Oryctolagus cuniculus: one gene and its partners. The protein of the gene in region 1 purifies or fractionates together with the protein of each later gene. This does not show direct contact. Links are inferred from orthologs where the notes say so. Each region holds a gene or a part of one and is shown in the gene's direction. Other genes may lie near its edges. The genes, in order: CBX5, AHDC1 and ADNP.

Region 1 (4,357 bases):
TCTCGGAGGTGATGCTCTTCAGTGTCTTCTTTAATGCCACCCACGAAGATCTTTTTCACAGTGAGGTGGGCACCTGGTCTTTGGGAATCCTACCGAGCCGAGAACCACGAGTTACTCTAAATGGCAAAATCTGTGTCCTTTATCAAGTACTTGAAAGGGTCCAGATGGCTCCCCAATGGCAAGCCTATTACCACAACCGATGGGGGTTTGGGGGCCCACTTACTTCTCTCGACACAGCCCTCTTTGGTTCCACAACTCTTCCATCCACTTTGTGTGGCCTTGCGTTCATGGCCGCATCCACCTCCTCCACGGTGGCGTAGGTGACAAACCCAAAGCCCCTGGAGCGCTTGGTGTTCGGGTCTCTCATTACCTGGAGACAGCGTTAATTTGCTTATTACAAGGCCCGGGCCCGTAGGAGGTTATAGGGCGGTCCTCCTGTTCCCCGCTCCCGCAACTTCCAAAAAGCAGGCCGAAGAGCCACAAACGAGCCATTCCTAACTCAGAACTCAGGCCCCGTTAGGATCTTAAGCCCTCGCACAGAATCTGCAGGAACAGCCGCCGACGCCCCGCCTCCCGGCCCTCCCCAGTCTTACCACGCAGTCCGTGAGCGTGCCCCATTGCTCAAAATGGCTCCTCAGGCTCTCATCGGTCGTCTCAAAGCTCAGCCCTCCGATGAAGAGCTTCCGCAGCTGCTCGGGCTCCTTGGGCGACTGGGCGGGAGAGCAAAATTGGTTTTTCTCTTGTAAATTCGGGCTACCACACGACCCCGTTTCCACGCGGGGGGTGGGGAACACAACTCGGCCCCCACAAAGGCGGCACTTTTTGTTCGCTCCGGTCCAAAGCGGGCCACGTGCTCCCCCTCATCAGGGGAGGCGGCCCGTTGGGGGCTGGGGAGCCTCCAGCGCATGCGCCGCTCCGCTCCCTCCAGACGCACGCGCGCAACAAAAGGTCCGCGCGGGAGGGGGACATCGCCGTGAGGGGCATCAAGGCTTTTTTAAAACCCGCTCGCCGGGACAAAATTGAACCTAAATCGCCATATGGCTAACGATTTTGCCCCGACGCCGACCCCGGAGTGATTATCGAGGGGCTAGCGGCCCGCAACCTCATGGCGACGACGAGGACAAAATGGCGACTTGAACTTTGGGAGGGGTAGGCCTTGGCCGCGACCGAGCAAACTGCCGAAAAGGTTGCTGCGGGCAAAGAAACCGCCCCTACTGGACTCGAAGAGGGAGACGAGGGGGAGAACTACGTTAGAAAAGGGGAGCTCCTCACCTCTGACTTCGACATGACGGCGGTGGGAAGAGAGAACTCGACGATGCTTCCTCGGCGGCGTCCGCAAGCAGAAAGGAGTAAGCCAACGAACGTATCCGCCAGCCTACCTTCGGCCTCGCTTTTTTATCCCGCCTCCTCGCTTTCGACATTGGCAGACTCCACCCCTGCCTCGCTCTGATTGGACATTTGAAATCGCTTCCCTCTACTATTGGTGTATGGCGCCGCACTGCTGCGTACGTCACCGTTAGGGCGTTCTGCGCAGTCTCCACCCCTCGGACCCCATTGGTCCTCGAGCAATCTTATTCTTAGCCAGCCTGATTGGCTAACTGAACAATCATTCATTTTTGAACGTACTTCGCCTGTCTAAACGTTTTTTTTTCATTCTACTAGTCCAAATTATATATCCTATTTGTTTGGTAAAGCATTATTAACACCAAGCAGCAGAAAAGTAGTTAGATGTGACGGTTTTTTTCAACAACCGCCTGTTGAGCGCATGTGTAGTAAAATGGCGATCTTGCGCATGCGCATTATAGAGTTCCGCTCGCCGCTTGAAACACGTGAAATGGCGGGCGGGAGAAGGCGGTTAACCTACGGCGCCTGCGTAGTGGCGGGAGTTGCGCGCTGCTTTGCGCAGGCGTTGTGGGCGGAGAAAGGGTCCGGGCCCAGGATTGGTTGCGCAGGCGCAGGGAAGGATCCGTTTTGGCGGGCGGTTGGCGTTGCGCAGAAGGCAGCAGCAGCGGTGGCTTGTGGTGCGGCCTCAGCACAGAGGAACGGGGCAGACGTTAGGGTGTGTGATCACTCTCGATCCCGGGTAAGTGGCAGAGAGTCTTGTCTACCTGTACAAGGCCTTGGACCGGCTCCAGTTGGGCCCGTTATTGTGTGAAATGAATGGACCGTGGGGTGGGGGGATAGTCAAGGGGCAGCGGTGGGTTGGGCCAACCAATAGAAGAACAGGGGGCGGGATATTCCATCCCTGTAGGTTGTGTGGAGCTGTGCCGCCGAGGCGTTTGACTGGCGCGTGTCTAGGCCAATTGGGTCTACCTCGAGCTGCCGACTGATCGGCCTTTGGGCCATCGGAATGTGGGAGGCGGGTTTTCCCTTCCTGAGCAGCGTCCCGCCGAGCCAATGAGCGCGAAGCGCGCGGTAGGTTGGGCTTCTCCGAGGGGCCGTGGGTTTGACTCCAGCGGGGAAGGCGGGAGTTGGGCCCTCAAGTGGATGGACCAAATCTGGAGCCAGTAGGCGGGCGGCCCAAGGAAGCCTCTCGGACAGGTCGTCCAATAGGCTCTCCAGGACGGGGAGGTCTTCGATTTGGTGGGAAAGGGTGGGGAGGAAGGAGATTCAATGGTCGTGATGGCGTGCGGGGGTGGGTTTTTCCCCCCTACGACTTCTGCGAAGCCCCCCGCCCGGTGCACCTCTTTGGTAGCGGAAGCGTAAATTTGGTCCTGGGTGCTGCAGCTTGGCATCGCTCTCCACGTCGGGGCATCCCAGCATCCACCACATTGAGTTTGGGGGAAACCCGAGCAGGGCTTTCGATTTAGAGAACTTGTTTTAGGAAGACGGACTGAGTGTTAGCGAATGAGAGAAATCACTGTGTACTGTACGGCAAGGCGACCTCAGGATGCCTGTTTCTGCGGACACAAAGGTGTTCGTAGGCCCGCAGAAAAGTTTCAGAATCCTGCCCCTGTCCGGAGTGTGTTGCTTCTGCCGACGCCGGGGCCGAGGCAGGCTGGGTTTCCAATAGACCCGTGTTTAATCTTTACAGGGGTGACGATTTGTGATTAAAATAAAATAAAAAATGAAGTCAGTTTTGTGTGTGCGTTTCTGTTTATCATACTTCTCATCGCCCTTGTCTCTCTTCTCAGCTAGCTGCTCCGTGCTTTTGTCTTGGTCTTTTTCTCTGACTTTCCCTCCTGTACATATCTTTCTTTACACCATTAAAGATCTCCCGTGTCCCTCTTTGTGCTGTTCCTTTGAGGATGTCCCACGGAAGCCGCTGTAGGAGGCGATACGTTAGGGTGTTGGAGACAAAAGACCCATCCATCACCTGGAGTATTCATTGCCTTTTGATTAGATTTCCTTACGAGGGTGTTCTGCATGTAGTCTGTCTTCTGTTGATAATGCTTTCTCTGCTTATTCAGGGATCTTTTGAAAAAAAAGTTTGCATTATATATTGGGTGTGTTAGGGTCTTACTGCTTTATTGTTCACTGACTTAAAGCCAAGGGAGCAATCTTTAAATACTCTAATAAAAGTCAACCACATATGAAGTACACTTGTGATTGGAGACCTCTCCGCACTTGTGCAAATACAAATGATTTTAATGGAGCTTGTGATGAACCGAGCAGAGATTTCCGTGTTCTCCCGTACTTGCAAAAACGGCAAATCTGTGTTTCATACCTGATCATAAACCTATTTGTGGATATGCTGATAGTGCAGTTGCTGAGCTTCTGATAACTAAAGTGAGAGCGGTTGAGGGTATCCTGGATTTATTTAGGTTTAAAAGGAATACAGTCTTAATCTATAACAAGGTTTCTCATCCTCAACACTATGGGCACTTTGAGCCAGATACTTCTCTGTTGGGCAGGGAGTGGGGGCTGTCTTGGGCTCCCTGGCTCTACCTATTAGAAGCCAGCAGCACCCCCCCCCCCCCCCCCGCTGTCCTCACAGCCGCCAGGCGTTGCCAAAGGTCTGAGAGGGGTAAGCATCGGAATCTCAGTTTGAAACAGACCTAAAATGGCTGATGTTAGAGTTAATTATCCTTTCAAAGTCCTCTGTTTTACCAATTCAATAAAAGTGGGATGTATTTAGGGAGGGGCCTTTGCTGAGTGGATTACTAAATCCTATCACTTATCTCTTTCAGACACATAATAGGATCATTGTTCCTTCTGATAAAAGTGATACTTCATTAACATTCTTAATATTTCTTGCAATCTAATTATATGATTGACTGCTTGAATTTGGCTCCCTAAATAATGGCAAAGGTGTTTTTTTTAAGAAGGTAAATTTTGTCTCAGATGCCTGTTAAGGATTTCACCTAACTTTAAATCTCTTTCCTGGCTTTGAGTGACTGTCACTCTGCTTTAGCTA
Region 2 (4,257 bases), on another chromosome or scaffold:
ATGCTGTGGTAAACAAGACAGATGTGATCCCTGCCCCTGCAGAGCCCACACCCTCGGGGGAGGTGCTCTGGTGATTGCCTACGGTTGATGGGGACTGTGACATGGAGATTGATGGGGCCCGAGCGAGCTGGGGCTGGGCTGGAGCAGTGGAGAGGGTCAGAGAGGGTCCCATCCTGCAGCCCTGTCCCTCTCCCTGCCTCAGCTTCCTTCTTGGGTCACACTTGAGGCAGGGTTGACTGTTGTGTGTGCCTTGTTCATTCACTCATTCCACAAATCTTTGTTTTTTAAATTTATTTTACTCATTCATTTGAGAGGCAGAGAGAGAGAGAGAGAGGTCTTCCATCCTCTGGTTCATTCCCCAAATGGCCAGAGCTGGGCTGATCCAAAGCCAGGAGCCAGGAGCTTCTTCCAGGTCTCCCACGTGGGTGCAGGGGCCCAAGGATTTGGGCCATCCTCCAGTGCTTTCCCAGGCCATAGCAGAGAGCTGGATCGGAAGTGGAGCAGCCGGGACTCAAATCGGCGCCCATGTGGGATGCCGGCACTGCACCATAGCACCTGCCCCACCACAAATCTTTCTTGAAACCATCTTTTGAGGGCCACGTGCCATTCTGGGTGTTGGAAGCCACGAACAGAAAGGGACACGATCCTTGCCTTCATGGTGCTTAATGCCTTCAGCGGTGGGCTCTGTGGAGTTGGGAAGGGTGCTGACCTCAATCTCTGGTCTGCAGGGGCGTGAGGCGAGGGGTGCCGTGTAATGGGCGTGGCCCCGTGTTTGGCAGCAGTGACAGTGTCTTTGGGGGCAGCAATAGTAGTGACTGTTGAAGCTCTGACCTTAGGCATGCTTCACTTCCCTGGAGCTCTTATGCCACTAACGATTAAATCATTCACGATTATCTAATCGGGATCTGTCTGCCCAGCCCTTTTGCAAAGCAGGCACTCCATAAGTAGTGAGTTCTTTCATCTTGGAGCCTCCATTTCTTCTCTGTGAAATGGGCTTATTACTAGCCCGCACCTCACAGCATCTGTATGAAGCGTTAAATGAAACGATGCCCACACAGCATCCAGCCCAGTGCCTGGCGCGCAGTAGGTGCCCACTAAACCTGAGCTGCAATGGTCCTTTCCAGGCGCTGTCCACGCCCGAGGCCTGGGCTCAGGCCGAAGTTGCTCCATAGCACCCCCAGCTGACGGCCAGCGACTGGCAGCGCCCCCAGGCACAGGGGCCCTCTCTCTCCCAGGTCAGCGGGGTATGCGCGCTGCAGGGAGCAACCTAGGGAGCTGGGGGTTGGTTCCTGGAGGAGACCTGAGCAGTGGGCAGGTGGCCAGGCATTGAGCTGTGGCCCCCAGACCACGTGGGGAATTCAGGTCCCCTGTCGCTGTCTCATCCACAGAGCTCTCCAGTGTGACAGCCCAGGCGGCAGAGCCGAGGGTGAGTGGCCAGATTCTTGCAGTCCTGGGGTGGGGGCGGGGAGGTGGGAGGCCATGCCCTTGGTAGGATTTCCCAGCCTCCTTCTTAAGTCGACCCGAGCGCTCCCCTTGCTGTTCCCTTGGGCTTCCCTGCAGAGGCGGGGGTCTGTTCTCCCTGAGCCCATAGCCAGGGTCTCCAGGGCAGGTGAGTTGTCAGTAAGAACCGGGGCCCATGCATGTGGTGCTTTGAGAGGGCTGGGGGAAGGCCCAGGGGTTCACTGAGAAGAGAAGCTGGTGAGGTGTTCAGTGAGGGACCTCCCGCCTGTCCTGCCCAACAGGTCCTGGTCCCGGCTTCTCGCACCCTCATGTCAGCCCCGGCCCCGCCCGGCGGCCCGCGGAGGACAAGGTCAGGATGCGTGTGAAGCCCCAGGGCCTGGTGGTGACTTCCAGTGCCGTGTGCAGCTCTCCTGACTACCTCCGGGAGCCCAAGTACTACCCCGGCGGCCCCCCCACCCCCCGGCCCTTGCTGCCCTCCCGGCCCCCCGCCAGCCCACCTGACAAGGGCTTTTCCACCCACGCCTTCTCCGAGAACCCACGCCCACCCCCACGCCGGGACCCCAGCACCCGGCGCCCACCAGTCCTCGCCAAGGGGGACGACCCACTGCCCCCGCGGGCAGCCAGGCCCGTCTCACAGGCCCGCTGCCCTACACCGGCGGGCGACAGCAGCAGCTCCCACCACCGCTGGGACAACGGGCGGGTGACCCTGCGACCAGTGGTGCAGCTGATTGACATCATGAAGGACCTGACCCGGCTCTCCCAGGACCTGCAGCACAGCGGCGTGCACCTGGACTGCGGTGGGCTCCGGCTCAGCCGCCCGCCTGCCCCGCCACCCGGAGACCTCCAATACAGCTTCTTCTCCTCCCCCAGCCTGGCCAACAGCATCCGCAGCCCCGAGGAGCGGGCCACCCCCCATGCCAAGTCGGAACGGCCCAGCCACCCCCTCTATGAGCCTGAACCTGAGCCTAGGGAGAGTCCCCCGCCTGGCCAAGGCCATAGTCCCGGAGCCACGGCTGCAGCCCCCGGGCTGCCCCCAGAGCCGGAGCCAGACGGCCCTGATTACTCGGAGCTCGCGGATGCCGACATCCTCAGTGAGCTGGCCTCCCTTACGTGCCCTGAGGCCCAGCTGCTGGAGGCCCAAGCCCTTGAACCCCCTTCTCCGGAGCCGGAGCCTCAGCTCCTGGACCCCCAGCCCCGCTTTCTGGACCCGCAGGCTCTAGAGCCGCTCGGGGAAGCTTTGGAGCTGCCGCCCCTGCAGCCGCTTGCCGATCCGTTGGGGCTGCCGCCTCTGACGCTGCAGGCCCTGGACACCCTGCCTGACTCCCTGGAGTCGCAGCTGCTCGACCCTCAGGCGCTCGACCCCTTGCCCAAGTTGCTGGACGTCCCGGGTCGCCGTCTGGAGCCTCAGCAGCCCCTGGGGCACTGCCCGCTGGCGGAGCCCTTGCGCCTGGACTTGTGCTCACCCCACGGCCCCCCCGGGCCTGAGGGCCACCCCAAGTACGCCTTGCGGCGCACTGATAGGCCAAAGATTCTGTGTCGCCGGCGGAAAGCCGGACGGGGACGCAAGGCAGACGCTGGACCCGAGGGCCGCCTGCTGCCCCTTCCTATGCCCACAGGGCTGGCGGCTGCCCTGGCTGAGCCCCCTCCCCCTCCACCGCCTCCACCGCCTCCTGCGCTGCCGGGCCCGGGCCCAGTCCCAGTCCCGGAGCTGGAGCCAGAATCTTCCCAGACGCCCATGGTCCCCAGCCGCAAAGGCAAGTGCCGGGGTGTGCGGCGCATGGTGGTGAAGATGGCCAAGATCCCTGTGTCGCTGGGCCGGCGGAACAAGACCACGTACAAAGTGTCCTCCCTGAGCAGCAGCCTGAGCGTGGAGGGCAAGGAGCTGGGCCTCCGTGTGTCCGCGGAGCCCACGCCCCTGCTGAAGATGAAGAACAACGGGCGGAACGTGGTGGTGGTCTTCCCGCCCGGCGAGATGCCCATCATCCTCAAACGCAAGCGCGGCCGTCCCCCGAAGAACCTGCTGCTGGGTCCCGGCAAGCCCAAGGAGCCGGCCGTGGTGGCCGCCGAGACGGCCACTGTGGCAGCGGCCACCATGGCCATGCCAGAGGTGAAGAAGCGGCGGAGGAGGAAGCAGAAGCTGGCATCGCCTCAGCCGTCCTACGCGGCCGACGCCAACGACAGCAAGGCCGAGTACTCGGACGTGCTGGCCAAGCTGGCCTTCCTGAACCGCCAGAGCCAGTGCGCTGGGCGGTGCTCGCCGCCCCGCTGCTGGACACCCAGCGAGCCCGAGTCGGTGCACCAGGCCCCTGACACCCAGAGCATCTCCCACTTCCTGCATCGCGTGCAGGGCTTCCGGCGGCGCGGGGGCAAAGCAGGCGGTTTCGGCGGCCGGGGCGGGGGCCACGCGGCCAAGGCAGCCCGGTGCTCCTTCAGTGACTTCTTCGAGGGCATCGGCAAGAAGAAGAAGGTGGTGGCAGTGGCAGGCGCTGGGCTCGGGGCCCCCGGCCTCACTGAGCTGGGGCACCCACGCAAGCGGGGCAGGGGGGAGGTGGACGCCGTGACCGGGAAGCCCAAGCGCAAGAGGCGGTCCCGGAAGAATGGGACTCTGTTCCCGGAGCAGGTGCCCGGCGGCCCCGGCTTCGGGGAGGCGGGCGCTGAGTGGGCCGGAGACAAGGCAGGCGGCTGGGCCCCTCACCATGGGCACCCAGGTGGGCAGGCCGGCCGAAACTGTGGGTTTCAGGGGACCGAGGCCCGGGCCTTTGCCTCCTCGGGGCTGGAGAGTGGGGCCTCAGGCCG
Region 3 (4,257 bases), about 47 Mb from region 1:
AGAGGGGTGGGGAGGAAGCTTCCTTGCATCTGTTCCTGTGCTGTCCTGTTGTCTACTAAGAAAAGCATGTCATTTAGAGCCAGCAGCCAGAGAAGTGCGTAAGTGCTTAACGTTGAGGATGCGAAGACAAGCTGCAGACGGACAGAGTCTTGGTTAGAAAAAGCTTCTGTAAACAGGTCACTGAGGGCGCCTCCATCTGGGGAGAGGGGCAGATCACTGAATTCCCAGGGTCATTAGAAATGTCCGCGATACGCTCATAGTCGTAGGACTTCTACATCTTCCAGTTAAAACCTGAGCATGGGTTCTTCCGGTTACTAAGCATAGAAGAAAAATAACCTTTTATACAGCGTTTTCCGATAAGCAGTCATGCTTATTTTGTTAACGAGCCTTTTTAATTCAGTGTGGATAAGTACACTCGGAAGTCGACCCTGTGCCACTTCTGAAGTGCACGCGTCCTGCTGCCGAGCTCCTGAGAACCGTGCTTGGCTCGGGGGGCTCCCCCAGGCGCTGAGGTGTGCTTCACCGGGATCCTAGAATGACCGTGGCCGTGGGCAGGCACTGAGAGTGGGCTCTCCTCCCCCCGAGCTGCAGGGACAGGCTGGTGGCCACATTCACACACCTGTGTGCCTTGGTTCTGCCAGGCGGGCAGGGAAACCAGTCCCGGCTGCTTCTGAAGTGAGGCAGGCTTACTTCGGGAAGTTCCTGAATGGCTGGGTTTTGGCCCACAGGGAGGTTTGAAGGGAAGAGAGATGGATAGTGGACTCCTCAGACTTGAGAGGCTGTGCTCAGAATTAGCCTGAAGGATGCCTCTGTGTTTCTAGTCTTTTTTTTAATCGGGCAGTTCTGAAAAAGACCGAGTTTGTGTCAACAACTGAAAAGTCTTGTTTTAAACCACTGAAAAGATGGTTTAAAACAATTTAGCAATAAAACGTCCGTGAAGAATGGCTTGGCTTTCAGTGCAGGGGTTTGTCTGGGAAGCGGGGTGTGATGGCGTGTGCAGAGCAGGGCCGCCTGCAGCGCTGCTTCAGAGCTCACAGAAGTCCAGCCTGAGCGGAGGCCAGGGAGCTCCCTTCTCGGCTGCTGCAGGGGTCCCAGGCAGGACCCCCGGCTGAGCACTGCTGGGAGCCGCTCTTTGCTTTGGTGCGAGGGACTCTTTTTTTCTCTGTTTTTTCATTTTTCATTAGTTAACATTAATTTTTAGATTAGGATAATAAGTGAGACAACATTACATTTGGATTAGTTAACTTGCAGGTAAAACTGGTAGTAGTAACCACCTTAACTAATTGGCAGATAAGATTTGCATATATTAAATTTTAATTCCTGGTTGCTTTGGATTTTGGTTTTGCTGTTTTGAATTTTAGAGCTACTTTATTCTGCAAAACTATTTTGAATTTGGACTACTAAATTGAAGACATTCTGAAGCATATTTTACAGAAGGATTTAGGGTCACATTGGAAGGCATACAAATTCTCAGTTGCCCGAAACAGTAATTTTGTCTTCTTACTAAATACAGCCCTTTGTTTTTAAGGAACTTGGGGAAGTGGATCTGAGTTTGATTTTAATGTGTTAACTCATCACAGTTGTTCCATTCCCATACACACGCAAGGGCTTTTCATTTTTCCGATGGATGCCCTGAAGCCTGTAAGAGTTACCATTTGCTCTGACGCCCAGTGCCCACCTTCTCCCCTCTCAGCAGTCAGTGCCTTGTTGAGATGTGCTGCCAGCTGTCGGGGGGTGAGTCCTCTCAGCCATCATGCCATTGACTTGGGGTGCACAGAGATAGCAGGCGTGCTCCCTGAAGAACACCAGAGCAGTGGCAGGGGTATTGCCGGCAGCAGGAGCTCCCTGGCACTCAGTGTGGTGACAATGCTGCAATGGTGAGCGTTTCCTGTTCTCAGAGGTTCAACATCACAAGCAATAACGCACTCACACTTGACTTAAAAATAATTGGTTGGTATTATTTCCCTCATTCTCAACTTTATCACTGAACTGTTTTTTTTTTTTTTTTAAGTCTAAGCTGAATTGTGCCAGATTAGACTCATAGTTGATTAATATAAAAATGTCCCATTCAGAAAAAATCAGAGAGAACTTATTTTTGCCTGTCTGCTTTGAGTATTCAGAATACACTAGATAAGGATATCTATTCACCTTTTTGTAGTTGGGGCCAGGGTTTGTGATCCTGTCATCAGTGGATTTAGTAAATATTACAAGTTGTACATGTTTTGACTTTGACTTAAATTTTTTTTTCCAATAGAAACTATGTTCCAACTTCCTGTCAACAATCTTGGCAGTTTAAGAAAAGCCCGGAAAACTGTGAAAAAAATACTTAGTGACATTGGGTTGGAATACTGTAAAGAACATATAGAAGTAAGTAGCATGTCATTTTTAAATTTTAACATGACTCAGCTTCTGGTCCATTACTTTGTGTCAGCACGAGGATGGATAATTCTTCGGTGTGATTCTAAATTGTAACCACAGCGTTAGCTTCGCCAGCGCCTTCTCAGTTAGCGTAAACTTCTTCCCTTCACCCCGAAGGGGCTTTTCCGTCTTTGCATCCTGAAGCAACAGCAGCTGCCGTTGAGGGCTTACGCTTGTCAGACATTGAACCTGGGCGCTTTACTGGCCTCTCCCTTTGTTCTTAACGACTTTCGAGGGGCAGTGGGAATTCTTAACCTCCACTCTACAGATGAAAGATGAGTCAGGGACTAGGTCTGGCCTCAAGACGGAGGGAGCGGTGGTGTCTGTGGGGCTCCAGGCCTGTTCTCCTTGAGAGGCCTGAGGGTGCTGTTGGCCGTCTAACTGTTGAGGCATGGTTACTTGACTGCTTGTCGTCTCTTTCCTTGGGATTTGAGCGTTTGTTGGCCCTTTTTACCCATCAGTGACTACTGTCTTCCCCTTGTTTAACAGTTGGCCTTACACTGTTTCTCCTGCCTTTTTATTCTAAGAGCTTTATAATAGCCCCTGGGCGAGGGCATAACCAGAGCAGTGAGTTCCTCCCTTTCCAGGTCTCAGTGCTCCGAGTCTTACAGTTAGGTGGTCAGAGCCTCTGGTTGAAAAAACACAGTGAATGCCATTTCCGTGCTAACCTTTAAATCCTAGCTGGCCAAGGACCATGGCTGCCTTGTTCATCCATTTGTCCCCAGCACCTATAGCACAGTGTTTGGCACAAAATAGGTGCTCAGTAAATGTTTGACTGGAATGGAAGTAAAGGAACAAAAACAAAAATTCAGTAAGCAGTGGTCTTTCTTTTCCTGAGTCCCACTGACACTCTAGGGGTACAGAGTGAAGACGAAGCTCCTCGGGGTGAGCTTCTAGTTAGGTCGTCCCCAGCATGCAGGCTGCCCCTCCCCAAGCCCACGGTGAGGGCAGCTCTGCCCCATGCAGCGGTCTGTTCGCTGCATGTTCGGTGGGGCCCTCTTCACGGGAGCTAATCTCACAGGTGCTCAGGTGCCTCCCGTCCTGCACAGGCTTTGTTCAAACTCTCACGACACTCGTTACAGACTGCGGACTGATGTGTGCTTGATCCCCCTCAGACTGAACCGTTGAGGAGCAAGAATTTTTATCCTAAGACTTTTTATCTTCCTAGTCTAAGGGGAAAGGGGCTGTGTTAGCGTTTTACATAAGAGTGCAAATTTAACATCACGTTGCTTGCTTTCTTTGAATAGCTTTCTTTCCTCCTTTTTGGGTTCAAAAATCCTGAATTTTCTTTCCAATCCAATCTCTGGCCCCTCTCCCTCAAAAAATCTTTTTTTGCAGAACTGGACACATCTGCAGAACCATAAACGAACGTTTCTTAAGACTCCATTGCAGTACTATCGCTGATGAGTTACAGTACTCTAAGAAAACTGCTTTGGTACTAATATGTATGTGACCGGACTTTCTAGTTCATTAGAATTCCCAGTGGTTTCCTTGGAAACCTGGCTGACCATCCGGGTACTGTTGGGCTGATAAAAAATGTTCAGTGTAATTTAATTTCCAGGTGCCCTTTTGTCTTGCCTAAGAGCCTTATTATTCCTAGTTTAGATCTTAATGCGGTTGGTTTTCCTGTGCTCTCCTCAACTCTAGTAAAAAGGTAACAATTTATATGTAAGCTTGGGCTGGAGTTGATACCATTATGTTTTTGTAAACTTCTTTCACTGTTTTCTAGGATTTTAAACAGTTTGAACCTAATGATTTTTATTTGAAAAACACTACATGGGAGGATGTAGGACTGTGGGACCCTTCGCTTACAAAAAACCAGGTGAGTGGTGTGGGGGC

Evidence for each region.
Region 2: the proteins of CBX5 (region 1) and AHDC1 purify together in Homo sapiens (affinity purification with mass spectrometry; 3 studies listed by BioGRID and IntAct, with this or other methods). This does not show direct contact. The link is inferred for Oryctolagus cuniculus from reciprocal best matches to the Homo sapiens genes CBX5 and AHDC1.
Region 3: the proteins of CBX5 (region 1) and ADNP purify together in Homo sapiens (affinity purification with mass spectrometry; 4 studies listed by BioGRID and IntAct, with this or other methods). This does not show direct contact. The link is inferred for Oryctolagus cuniculus from reciprocal best matches to the Homo sapiens genes CBX5 and ADNP.

What each region holds. Positions count from the first base shown.
Region 1 is NC_091442.1:57,214,286-57,218,642, reverse strand, and holds the start of CBX5 (chromobox protein homolog 5), read left to right. Parts: upstream 1-1,765; coding exon 1,766-2,083; intron 2,084-4,357. Other genes in the region: HNRNPA1 (heterogeneous nuclear ribonucleoprotein A1), read right to left, coding at 1-89, 224-370, 594-710, 1,273-1,287. UniProt on the Homo sapiens protein: Component of heterochromatin that recognizes and binds histone H3 tails methylated at 'Lys-9' (H3K9me), leading to epigenetic repression. In contrast, it is excluded from chromatin when 'Tyr-41' of histone H3 is phosphorylated (H3Y41ph).
Region 2 is NC_091438.1:144,015,696-144,019,952, forward strand, and holds part of AHDC1 (transcription factor Gibbin), read left to right. Parts: intron 1-1,124; 5' UTR 1,125-1,235; intron 1,236-1,388; 5' UTR 1,389-1,426; intron 1,427-1,742; 5' UTR 1,743-1,816; coding exon 1,817-4,257. UniProt on the Homo sapiens protein: Transcription factor required for the proper patterning of the epidermis, which plays a key role in early epithelial morphogenesis. Directly binds promoter and enhancer regions and acts by maintaining local enhancer-promoter chromatin architecture.
Region 3 is NC_091442.1:10,055,452-10,059,708, forward strand, and holds part of ADNP (activity-dependent neuroprotector homeobox protein), read left to right. Parts: intron 1-2,254; 5' UTR 2,255-2,259; coding exon 2,260-2,367; intron 2,368-4,147; coding exon 4,148-4,240; intron 4,241-4,257.